Linked DNA regions of Sus scrofa. The protein of the gene in region 2 purifies or fractionates together with the protein of the main gene of each other region. This does not show direct contact. Links are inferred from orthologs where the notes say so. Each region holds a gene or a part of one and is shown on either strand. Other genes may lie near its edges.

Evidence for each region.
Region 1: the proteins of DPF2 (region 2) and ARID1B purify together in Homo sapiens (affinity purification with mass spectrometry; 7 studies listed by BioGRID and IntAct, counting the BioPlex papers as one, with this or other methods). This does not show direct contact. The link is inferred for Sus scrofa from reciprocal best matches to the Homo sapiens genes DPF2 and ARID1B.
Region 3: the proteins of DPF2 (region 2) and SMARCD3 purify together in Homo sapiens (affinity purification with mass spectrometry; 3 studies listed by BioGRID and IntAct, counting the BioPlex papers as one, with this or other methods). This does not show direct contact. The link is inferred for Sus scrofa from reciprocal best matches to the Homo sapiens genes DPF2 and SMARCD3.

The regions. Positions count from the first base shown.
Region 1 is NC_010443.5:10,225,048-10,228,792, forward strand, and holds the start of ARID1B (AT-rich interactive domain-containing protein 1B), read right to left. Parts: upstream 2,334-3,745; 5' UTR 2,309-2,333; coding exon 689-2,308; intron 1-688. UniProt on the Homo sapiens protein: Involved in transcriptional activation and repression of select genes by chromatin remodeling (alteration of DNA-nucleosome topology).
Region 2 is NC_010444.4:6,879,942-6,883,586, forward strand, and holds part of DPF2 (zinc finger protein ubi-d4), read right to left. Parts: intron 1,567-3,645; coding exon 1,406-1,566; intron 1,008-1,405; coding exon 900-1,007; intron 572-899; coding exon 408-571; intron 1-407. UniProt on the Homo sapiens protein: Plays an active role in transcriptional regulation by binding modified histones H3 and H4. Is a negative regulator of myeloid differentiation of hematopoietic progenitor cells. Might also have a role in the development and maturation of lymphoid cells.
Region 3 is NC_010460.4:5,957,410-5,961,154, forward strand, and holds the start of SMARCD3 (SWI/SNF-related matrix-associated actin-dependent regulator of chromatin subfamily D member 3), read left to right. Parts: upstream 1-1,056; 5' UTR 1,057-1,157; intron 1,158-2,867; 5' UTR 2,868-2,969; coding exon 2,970-3,008; intron 3,009-3,745. UniProt on the Homo sapiens protein: Involved in transcriptional activation and repression of select genes by chromatin remodeling (alteration of DNA-nucleosome topology).

The DNA.
Region 1 (3,745 bases), on a different chromosome or scaffold from region 2:
GAATCGATTTATTTTAGGATATTTTACCTCCACATCGCTGTAAACGTGGGTATTATTTTTGCTACTACACAAACTCAAAGCCCGCATCCGATATCTCCGAATGGCTGGGCACAACTACGAAACACACTCGGCTGCCACAAAGCTAACCTATTTTTCCTGCCTTCACCTAATAAGCTAAGAGGGAACGTAGTGTGGCCGGAGGTAGGACAAAGTTCCTCATTCTTTTCCCAGTTCTAGCTCATTGTTGGCGCTAACCGAGAAGAGGGGGTCAATCTTCCTTCCCCGACCGTACCGGCCGGGAGCGCCTATTTTGTTGAAAAAGCTGCCCGAACGGTCCCCGGCGCCCACACGGCTTCCCGGCGGCGCGGTCCCCGACTCCCGCACGCGCGGCTCGGCGCCTGGGGTGGGGTGGCCGGGCGGGTGCTGCGCGACCGGCAACCGCGGCGCCCGTCCCGGGCCTCGGCCAGACCCCCTCCCCAGGCCCCGGGCCCCGCGCCGCGCAGTCGGACCCCGCGCGCTGCCCGGCCTCGGAAGGAGGCAGCCGCGAGTTAAAATGGCTTTGGGCGTCTCGCCCCCGCCTCCCCCGACAGAAGACGCAGAAAAAGTACGCGGAAAGAAAGAAACTAGGGCTCGCGGCGCGCCGCGAGGCCGCCGCGGCGGAAGCAGGCCCGACCGGCGCGGGGGTTACCTGGGATCTGCCCATGGTCGGGCCGGGGGTGCCGGGGCTCATCGCCGGGTGGCTCCTTTGTTGCGCGGCCGCCCAGGCCGGGCTGGCAGCGGCGTACTGGGCGCCCATGTCCTTGCCCAAGCCCATGCCCGCGGCCGCCTGCTGGCCGCCCGCCGCCGCCCCCGCCGCCGCCGCCTGGGACTGGGGCTGCGACGGCGGCGGCGGCGGCGGCGGCGCGCTGGGGCTGCTGTAGTCGGGGTAGCTGCCGCCGTAGCTCCTCATCATGGGGCTGGGCGAGGTGAGCAGCTGGTTGAGGGTCGGGGTGGCCCCCGACGGGTGCTGGTTCTGCCCGGCGAAGCGCTGGAAGCCCCCCGCCGCCGCGCCGGCGGCCGCCTTGCTGAGGCTCGCGGCCCCGCCGCCCCCGGGGCCCATCATCATGCCGCCGCCCTGCTGCCGGGGGGAGCTCAGCACCCCGTACCCCGAGGACGAGCCCCCATAGCCGCCGCCGCCGCCTCCTGCTGCTGCTGCCGCCGCCGCGGCCGCCGCCGCCACAGCTCCCGCTCCTGCTCCTCCTCCTCCTCCTCCTCCTCCGCTGCCTCCTCCTCCTCCTCCTCCTCCTCCTCCTCCTCCTCCTCCGCCACCGCCGCCGCCGCCGCCGCCGCCCGCGCTGGGCCGGCTGTAGCCCGGATAATGGTTGTACTGGCTGTTGGGGTACCCTTCGTGGGAGTTCTGCAGGGGGTCCATGCTGTTGGGGGCTCCGGCGGTGGCTGAGGCGGAGTGCATCATCCCCATCCCGGGGCTTTGTTGTCCGCCATGTTGATCAAAGCAAGGCCCAGCGCGGCCGCCGGGGCCGCCGCTAGCAGGGGCAGCGCTGCCATAGTAATTATTAAACTCCGAGACGGCCGCCGGGCCGCCGCCACTGCTGCCGCCCCCGGGCACAGCGACCGGCGGCGGCTGCGCGCCCAGGGCGCCCAGGCCCGGCTGCTCGTAGCGGCCGCCTGCCGGCTCCCCCATCTTGGGCGGCGCGTCGTCCTCGTCGCCCGGCTTGCTCAGCAGAGGCTGGCCCGGGGGGTCGGCCTGGCTGCCCGCGGCACTGTCCTTGGCGCCTCCATGTTGCGGCTGCTCCATGTCGGGACCGGGCTGAGCCGTGCCGCCGCCCGCGCCGCTGAGGCTGTTGTTGTTGGAAATGGGATGTTGCTGCTGCTGCTGCTGTTGCTGCTGCTGCTGCTGGAACTGGTTTAGCTGCTGCTGTAGTGCGTGGTGGTGGTGGTGGAGGTGGTGGGCATGGTGGTGGTGGTGGTGGGCATGGTGGTGGTGGTGGTGCTGCTGGTGGGGCGGTGCGGCGGGGGCTTCGCCAACGGTTTTCAGTTTGTGGTTGGGGAGCAGCCCCGTCTCCATGGCCGAGCCCGGGCCCAACGAGGAGGAAGAGGAGGACGCCGCCGCGGAGGAGGAGGAGGACAGCGCGGCGGCGCTTCCACCCTCCTTCAGAGCCGCCTCGGAGCCGCCGCTCTTGGCGCTGTTAGTGCTGGCGGCGGCGGCCGCCGCGCTCGCGTTATGGGCCATGTTCAGTTCGTGACGGGGGTGCAGGGGGTGGTGGTGCACATTATTCAGGCCGCCGCCGTCGCCGCCGCCCCCCAGCATGGGTCCCGGTGCCGCCGCCGCCGCCGCCGCGCCGCGCGCCCCCGCCTCCAGGTCCCGGGCCCCGAGCGCCGGCCGCGGCCCGGGGGGCGCCCGCCGCTCGCCGCTGCCCGCCCGCGCCCGCGCCGCCGCTGCTGCCCGCGCGGCCATGATCGCCGCGGCGTGGCGAGGCCGGGCGGGGGGCGGGGGGAGACAATAAAACCCACTTTTTAGTCTGCGGCCCCTCCTGTGCGCATCCACACGCCCCGACGGGAATCGAGCGAGCCCCCTCCCCCTCCACAGGCCCCGCCGGAGCCGAACCGGGAGTCACGCCTTACGGTCTGGGCCTGTTCCCGCTGTGTGATTTCATGGTGAAAGTTTTTAGTTCAGGTTTAAATGAAACTTTTCTCTTTTCCTCTCTAACCCGGATATGGGTAAATACACGACTCACTGAGCCTATCGGGCCCAGCATGGCATGAGAGGGAGCCGAGCGAGCCCGAGCAACTATTATCCACTTCTCTCTGATTACTCGTGCGCACTCGCAAAACGCGGACTGGACTCGGCCCGGGCCGCCGCCGCCCGCGGCGCCCTCCGCCCGCCTGCCCGCCCGGGCGCAGCCTCGCGGGCACCGGCGGCCCCGGGCCGGGGGCTCGGGCCGCTCGGCCGGCGCCGGGCGCGCGGCGGCGTGGGGCGACGGGAGGCTGCACTTTCCCCTCGTGCCTCCGTCTCCTTGCCAACCGGGCGTTCGCGTGTTTGTTTTCACGTCTAAAAGGAACGATTCAAAGGTGGAAAACGAGTCTGACGAGCAGACAAAAGAGGGAGAAGGGCTGGGGAACAAAGTTGTCTGTTGGCCTCAAAGGTTACGAGGAGCCGACGGAGAAAGAAGATATTTGGGCAATCTGTGCAAAAGCACTGCCTCTCCCAAGAGTTATGTAATTTTTCAGCATGTTAGCCTCTCTGCCTTGATTTCGGGCCGTCAATGTAATTCCCACAACTTCTTTAAACTGCATAATTAGGAAAGAGTTTAAGTGAAGGTTAGCCGCATTCCAGAAGCGCTGTGCCCTGTACACAGCAGGTACTCAATAAATGCTTAGGTTGATTGCACCTGCCCCAAAAATAACGTTGATATAACTTTTTTTAAGGCATCTTATATGTGTACGTAGGCTTATCAATGAAAACATAAAGTAATCCCAAAGGAGCATTTTTCCTTCCCATGCACTTGTCTGTCCTCGCTCTGAAGAGAAAGTCTTCAAATACGTAGCGTGGTGCGTTATGCTCCCAGCAACTTGCACGTGGAAATTTAACTCCTGGTGCCATAATAGCGACTGCAAAGGTTTATCTCATGTCTTCATAAATCTGTATGACATCATACCTGCATCGTATTTCAGAGGTTATGTGCACAATTAACCCTCTTGATATGAGTTCATTTCTAAGCAATGTGAGACAAAACTAAAAAAAAGT
Region 2 (3,645 bases):
AAAAAACCTTGGTGACAAAAGAAGACCAATCAATGCCAGAGTTCCCGTTGTGGTGCAGCGGAAATGACTCTGACTAGTATGCATGAGAATTCAGGTTTGATCCCTAGCCTTGCTCAGTGGGTTAGGGATGCAGCGTTGCTATGGCTATGTCCATGAGCTATAGCTCCGATTCGACCCCTGGGAACTTCCTTATGTCACAGGTGCAGCCCTAAAAAGCAAAAAAAAAAAAAAAAAGTGAATGAGTGAGAGTCTATACTGAGAAGGAGTGGTAGGTGGTGCAGGAACAGAACTCCAGGGACCCGCCTCCTGGCCCACAGCGTCCACTTCTATTCGGGCTGCTGTGTGGCCTCTGGGGGAGGAAGATGGTTTCCATCAAAGCCCCTTTAACCACAGTGTTATTCTTGTACCTTCCGTGCTCGACTGTTTGTCACAGGAAATTCGCCCAGGCTGTCATCATCAACTCGGGGATCTGGGGCACCTCGCTTCTCCATGGGGTCAGTGCGCAGCAGAGCCTCTAAACTACTGCCGTCCTGAGAGATCAGGCCCTCCTTCTTCAGGGTCTGGTCTGTGTCTGCAAGCAAGGTCAGGGTTAGGTGAGGCTCATAAAGGCTGAAAGAGGACCTCTCCAGGTCTACACAGGACTAGACTAGCCACAAGCCAGTCCCTGTCTCCTGGTCTATGGCTGCCCAGAAACCAAGGCACTGTAGTTCACTTGGCACCATTAACTTATCTGTTTATCTGTCTCCTCTATTAGACTGAGTTATTTAAAGAAAAGAATCTCATCTTATTCATCCTATTATCTTTAGGACCTAGCATGGGGCATGGAATACAACAGGTGATTAGCAGGCATCTTACTATGCTTCAGGCCACGCCCTTGCTCAAGGAGGAGTGCGCTTTACCTGGTTTAATAGATGGGAAGGAAAGCCTAGGATCCTCAGGAGGGTGAGCGCGCCGCTTTTTCCGCCAGCGCCGGGCAGGGTAGGAATACAGCTGCCCAGAGGCCAATCCTGTGGAAGGAAGAAAGAAGTCAAGCCCCAACCCCCAGTCATAGAAAATGATAAATACCAAACACTTTCTATGTGAGTAGGCTCTGACTGAGTTCTAGAGCAAGGGAGGAATATGGACAGGGAGGGCCTCGCAATTGGGGGAGGCATGGTTTATGGAAAAGAAAAACAGATGTAAGCTCAGGGGCCTTGGCTAACACACAGCTCTCCAAAACCCAACAGGAGCCTCAGCGGTGTAGCCCTGCAGAAAGCAAAGATGCTTCATCCTTCCTGGACGGGCTTCTAATCATGGGAAACCAGTCACCCATGGGTGTAAAGCAGTAGGGAAAACCCTTTCAGATGGCTCATCACCTAAGGTGAGGAAGCTTCTTTCTCCTCGTGCTCCTGAGTGGGACCCTCACCTGGACCCCGGTGTCGCTTTTCCATCCAGATATAACAGTTGCTTTGGGCTACCCCAGTCTGTGAGTCCAAGAAAGGCAGGCGTACGCTGCGCTCAGCGCAGAGGCGGGCATTGTAATTGTGGCACTGCTCCATGGCATCTTTGTAATACTGCTCCCCAAGGCTGCAGGAAACACAAAAATCAGGGGTGTGTGTGTGTGTGTGTGTGTGTGTGTGTGTGTGTGTTGGGGGAGGGGTGTGAGGCGCTGTGCATTCCCTTTCCTTTGCCACCTGCTTCTCTAGAAGGCTCAAGGGACTGGGAGACTGTCACTCTGCTTTTATTTGCTTCCATTTCTGCCTCATGGGACTCCAAGCCCCTTCACTATGCCATTAAGAGGAAAGGCACTTTACAAAAAAATTACTGTCGGGAACACGTGATTTCATCATGTCTCATCAGACCTTAGTCTAACCCATGAAGAAGGGAAGAAAATAATGTTCATTCTGTGCCTCTCATGAGTTCAACCCTGCGCTAGCCAAGATGCTATTTCTCTTACTCCTCAGGATTCTGAGGAGAGGTTACCTCCTTTTTACAAATGAGAAAAGAGTTCAAAAGGACTGGGGGACTTACTAAATTATAGTTAGCAAACTACATTTATATAAACTTTATCTACATAAACTATATCTATACAATGAAATTCTACTTAGCCATAAAAAAAGGAAGCTCTTCATGTACTAATATTAAACAATCTCCAACAATCTCCAATCTACCATTTATGCAGCCAAGTGGTAGAAAAGAAACTGTAGGCCTCCAAAAAGAATAGCCAGGTGACTAGGGGACTTTCTCCTATGTGCCATTTTGTATCTTTTGAATTTTAAAGTAGGTATTTATTCAACTAATTCTACATACTAATTTCACAATCAATGGAAAACATCTGAAAATACCTGAACACTCTTGAAGCCTAGTTTCTACTGAGTACCATAATTCTGGGACAAAACCTGTTTGCTCGAACGCCCATCCTAGGCCCTTCTTCACTCTCACACCATCAAATTTTTAAGGAAAGGAACCTTCTGGACTCAATTTGAGATGTGAATTTTCTAAGTGCTTAAAAAGCTGCAAAACTGCACATCCTTCAAGATTTAACAAGCAGGAGTTCCTGTCGTGGCGCAGTGGTTAACGAATCCGACTAGGAACCATGAGGTTGCGGGTTCGGTCCCTGCCCTTGCTCAGTGGGTTAAGGATCCGGCGTTGCCGTGAGCTGTGGTGTAGGTTGCAGATGCGGCTCGGATCCCGCGTTGCTGTGGCTCTGGCGGAGGCCAGGGGCTACAGCTCCGATTCGACCCCTAGCCAGGGAACCTCCATATGCCGCGGGAGCGGACCAAAGAAATAGCAAAAAGACAAAAAAAAAAAAAAAAAAAAAGATTTAACAAGCACTTTAGTATTGGAGCTTAAACTAACTACAGTGATTCATATTTATATATTCGATCAATCTTTTTTTTTTTTGGTCTTTTTAGGGCCACACTCACGGCATATGGAGGCTCCCAGGCTAGGGGTTGAATCGGGGGTGTAGCTGCCAGCCTACACCACAGCCACAGCAACACAGGATCCGAGCTGCATCTGCGACCTACCCCACAGCTTACGGCAACGCTGGATCCTTAACCCACTGAGCGAAGCCAGGGATCGAACCCGAATCCTCATGGATGCTAGTAGGGTTCGTTAACCACTGAGCCATGACAGGAACTCTATTCAATCAATCTTAAACAAGCGGAGGGCAGAGATGACCTCATCCCCACAATATCCTCAGTACCCTTGAAGGTGTCTGGGACATCTTGACCCGAGTCGGGAGTAAAAAGACCTGGTTTGGCTGCAAGTTATCACGTAAGCACAGACATGAGTCAACCCACATGGACCTTCGGTTCTTGTGCTATAGATTGGGGAGGCTGAACTTGGATAAGCTCTGACATATTCTACAAGAGGGAGACTCCTAGCATGAAAAGCTGAACAGAGCAAATTTCTGTTGCTTATGTCCATAACTCAAGCTACATCAACAAACCCTGCTCTGGAATTTGAGGGGGGCTTTCACTGGGCAGCCACAATAGACCACTAAGGCACAGCTTAGCACGTTCCCAGAAACTGAAAGCCACACACTGCACACAAAGCAGTGAGACCACAAGATAGTCAATGAGCTGTAATGACTGTAATTTAAGGCAGGCATGAATCCTGTGTTGGAGAGTAGAGAGAAGGGAACAGGCTCATATTTGCTCG
Region 3 (3,745 bases), on a different chromosome or scaffold from region 2:
TCAGTGAGTCCAGACCTCAGGTGAGTGCTCGTTTAAAACATGGGTTCAAGCCCCAATCTGTGTTCTGGCTAGGTTCAGGCCATTAATACTGTCAGTTTCAAATGGGTCAACAAAATGTGGTGTGTAAGAGTTCCCCGCGTGGCTCAGTGGTAATGAACCCCACTAGTATCCATGAGGATGCAGGTTCAATCCCTGGCCTCGCTCTGTGGGCTAAGGATCCAGCATTGCTGTGAGCTGTGGTGTAGGTGGCAGACTCAGCTCAGATTACAAATTGCTGTGGCTGTGGTGTAGGCCTGCAGCTGCAGCTCCAATTCCACCCCTAGCCTAGGAACCTCCATATGCCACAGGTGCTGCCCAGAAAGACTTAAAAAAAAATGGCATATATTCATCTGTGCATTGCATATATGCAGACAACAGGAATCTTCTCCTCAAAAGGATGGAATTTCTGACACGTTACAGCATGGATGAAGCTCAAGGCCGTTATGCTCAGTGAAATCAGCCAGTCGCCAAAGGGCAAATACAGAATGATTTCATTTGTATGAAGTACTCAAGAATAGTCAGATTCACAGAGACAGCCTGCGGAGTGACCAGAGCGGCTCCTCTGGCTGCAAGTCCAGGAAGGGATTCTCCGGGGCCAGCGTCCCCGCGGAATCGGTAGTACAGCCCGGAGGGACACAGATTAGACCAGGAGCGTGCACATGCATGACGGGGCGGGGCGGGGGCATCCGTCGGAGCCTGTCCTTGAACCTGGAGTGGAACCGAGGCCCTCTCCCCACTGAGAGTGTGTGTGTCTGTCTGTCTGTGGTCCCATGCGCCTAATGTCTGCGGTCACATCGGACCCTCTGAAGGTCTATGTGAATCCGCGGGCGCAGAGGCGCATCTACAGACGAAGGCACATCTGTGCACTGACTAAATGAACATCACAATGGGCCCGGCCAGTGCGCGCCGCGGTGCTCCAAGCGTGGCGATCGCACATTCGGATGGATGGGGCGACGCTGACTGCTCTGATCCCTAACTCATTATTAAGCTCCTCGCTCTTTGCAGACGCTCCCTGCGCCTCCCCCGCTCCCGGCAGCAGCGGCGCAGGCGCCGGGCCGAGCCGAGCGCCGAGCAGGGAGCGAGCGACCGCGCTCCGGGCCGGGGTCCCGGGGGAGCAGGTGAGCGACCCGCGCCGCGCGGCCCCCAGGCCCTTGGAGGAGACGCCGCCCGGCCGCGCTGCGCCGGCGCCCCGGCCTTCCCTGCTTGGCAGTACCCGTCTTGCCTCTACTGGCATCACCCCTCCTTCCTTTGCCTGGCATCCCTCCTCCCCCCCGCCTGGTACCTCCTCGCCTCCCGCCTGCCTGGCATCCCTCACCGCCCCCCCCCCCCGTCTGGCGTTTCCTTCCCCCCTCCCCTTGCCTGGCATTTCCCTGTTCTCCCTCTGCCTGGCACCTCCCTTCTTACCCCTTCCTGGCACCTTCCTCTTACCTGGCACCCCCTTCTCCCTGCCTGGCTCCCCCCCTCTCCTTTCCTGATCTCTCCCCCCACTCCTGACTCCCCTCGCCCCACCGCCCCGCCTGGCACCTCCCCCCACTCCCTTTCTTGCACCTCTTCCCTGACTGGCAAACTCCCATCCAGCCTCCTCTCTGATTCTTCCCCCTCCACGCCTCACCCGGCTTCTTTCCCTCCTCCCCTTACCTGGTCCCTCCCCTCTCCCCCTCCCCTGCATTCCCCCGTTTTCCCTTTGCCTGGCACTCTCCTGCCTGGTACCTTCCTCTCCTCCCTCGTGTCTGGCACCTTCCCTCCTCCCCAACTGCCTTGTACCTACTTGTCCCCAGTGGCCTGTCCCCTCCTCCCTGCCCAGCACTTTCCTGCCCTGCTCCTGACTGGAGCTTTCCTCCCCACCCCCTCCCTACCTGGCATCTCCCCCCCTCCCCCATGCTTGGCACCCCCACCCCACCCCTGCCTGGCCCAACCCCCTCCCCTGCCCTCCTCCTCCCCCTCCCCCCGCCTGTCTCTCCCCTCTCCCCCCTGCCTGGCCCTCTCCCTCCCCCCTGCCTGGCCCCTCCTTCCCTCCCTTGTGCCCCTTCCTCTTGGCCTCCTCTTGCCCAACACCTCTCCCCCATTCAGATTGTCCCTCTTCCTGCCAGGTACCTCCTCCCCTGCCCCAGGCTGGTAACATCCTCCCCTCTTGGCATCTCCCTCCTCTCACTGCCTCCCTGCCTCCTCACCCTTCTCAGAGTCACCCTCTGGCCAACACCCCCAGCACATGCCCCTGAACTGCTCCCAAGCCCCCACACTGCTCCCAAGCTACCACACTGCCCCCTCCTCGTCCCCCAACCTGCTGTCTGCCCACAAGTTGGGTTCTGACCCTAGCCCACCGCCTTCCTCCCTGGCAGGGGGTGACCACGAAGGCTGGGCACACAGGGAGGGCCCACTGTCGGCTGGGCAGACTACAGAGCGGGTTGGCTCTACTGCCACCCACCCCTAGCTGTCCCTTGGGACATCCTTGAGCTCCAGAAGTCATCCAGGTCCCATCCTGGCTGCCGGTCATGCCCTCCCCACCCCAGTGCCCGGCTCTCTCCTCCACTCTTGACAGGACCCCCCAAAGGTGCTGCCTCTGCCAGGGCCTGGGCTCTGCCAGCTCCTTGACTCGCATCCTTCCAGGCCTGACCTGTAGGCCTTGGTCTCTGACTGCTTCCTGCAGTCACGCTGCCCTTCCTTGTGCCACCCAGCCAGGCTGGCCCAGCCCGCCCCCTGCTCCCTTCCTACGCGCCTCCTGCCTTCCTCAGACCTTGTCATGGAGCTGGTCCACACAGCAGGCCCTTGTGAGTCTGGCTCTGGGGCTCGGGGTCTGGCCAGTCCCTCCCACTGCCCTCTCCTTTCAGATCCCCCCCAGAATGGCCCTTGGTGCTGCAGGCACGGTAGGCTCTGGGCCCGGGCACCGAGGGGGCACTGGATGACTCCCCCGCTGCAGGACCCTGCCACCTATGACTCCAGGCCTTCAGCACCCACCCGCCGTGGTACAGGTAGGCGCTGCTGCCCTCCCCCCACCCCACCCCCGCCAGCCCTGGAGCAGGAGCCTCGGGGTTCCACTGAGAGTCACTGGCTCTCAGCCTCTGGTCCTACCCCTGGGCCCCCTCTTGGCCCTTCTGCCCCGAGCTGGACCTGTGGCAGGGCCTCTTCTCATCCCCTACCCCAATTGGAACCTCTGCCCAGGCCCTGCTGGCAGCCACCTCCACACTGGCCCCCCCTCTTGCTCAGGGTCCCCTTACTTTCCACTGTCCCTGGGTCCTGCCTCTTGAAGCCAGTCGGAGCCAGGGACAAGTGAGCCTCCTCTGGCTTGTTCCATGTCCTCCCCACGGACACCCAGACACACGCCTTCTCGCCCCTCACCTGTGCGCGAGCGCACACACACACACACACACACACACACACACACACACACCCCAGCACACAGCTGGGAGGAAACCGCTGATCCTGGCACAACTTGGGCTCTGGAAACCTACCCCCAAACCTGCTATGGCGAACATCCGAAAGCTTTCTGGGACCCGGACAGGGGTTCGTTCCAGGCAGGAGGGGTGGCGTCCTGTGGCAGGGCCTCTGGTGGAGCTGGCCTTGCCCTGCCACCAGGCAGGCCTCCGGCTCAGAGGTGCTGGCTCTCAGGCCCGTAGTGAGCGCGCCAACTCCCGGCAGGCAGCGTGAGAGGAGACAGCCTGGCTAGTCCCCCGTCGGGGCCCCTGGTGCAGAAGGAAGCGCTGAGGCA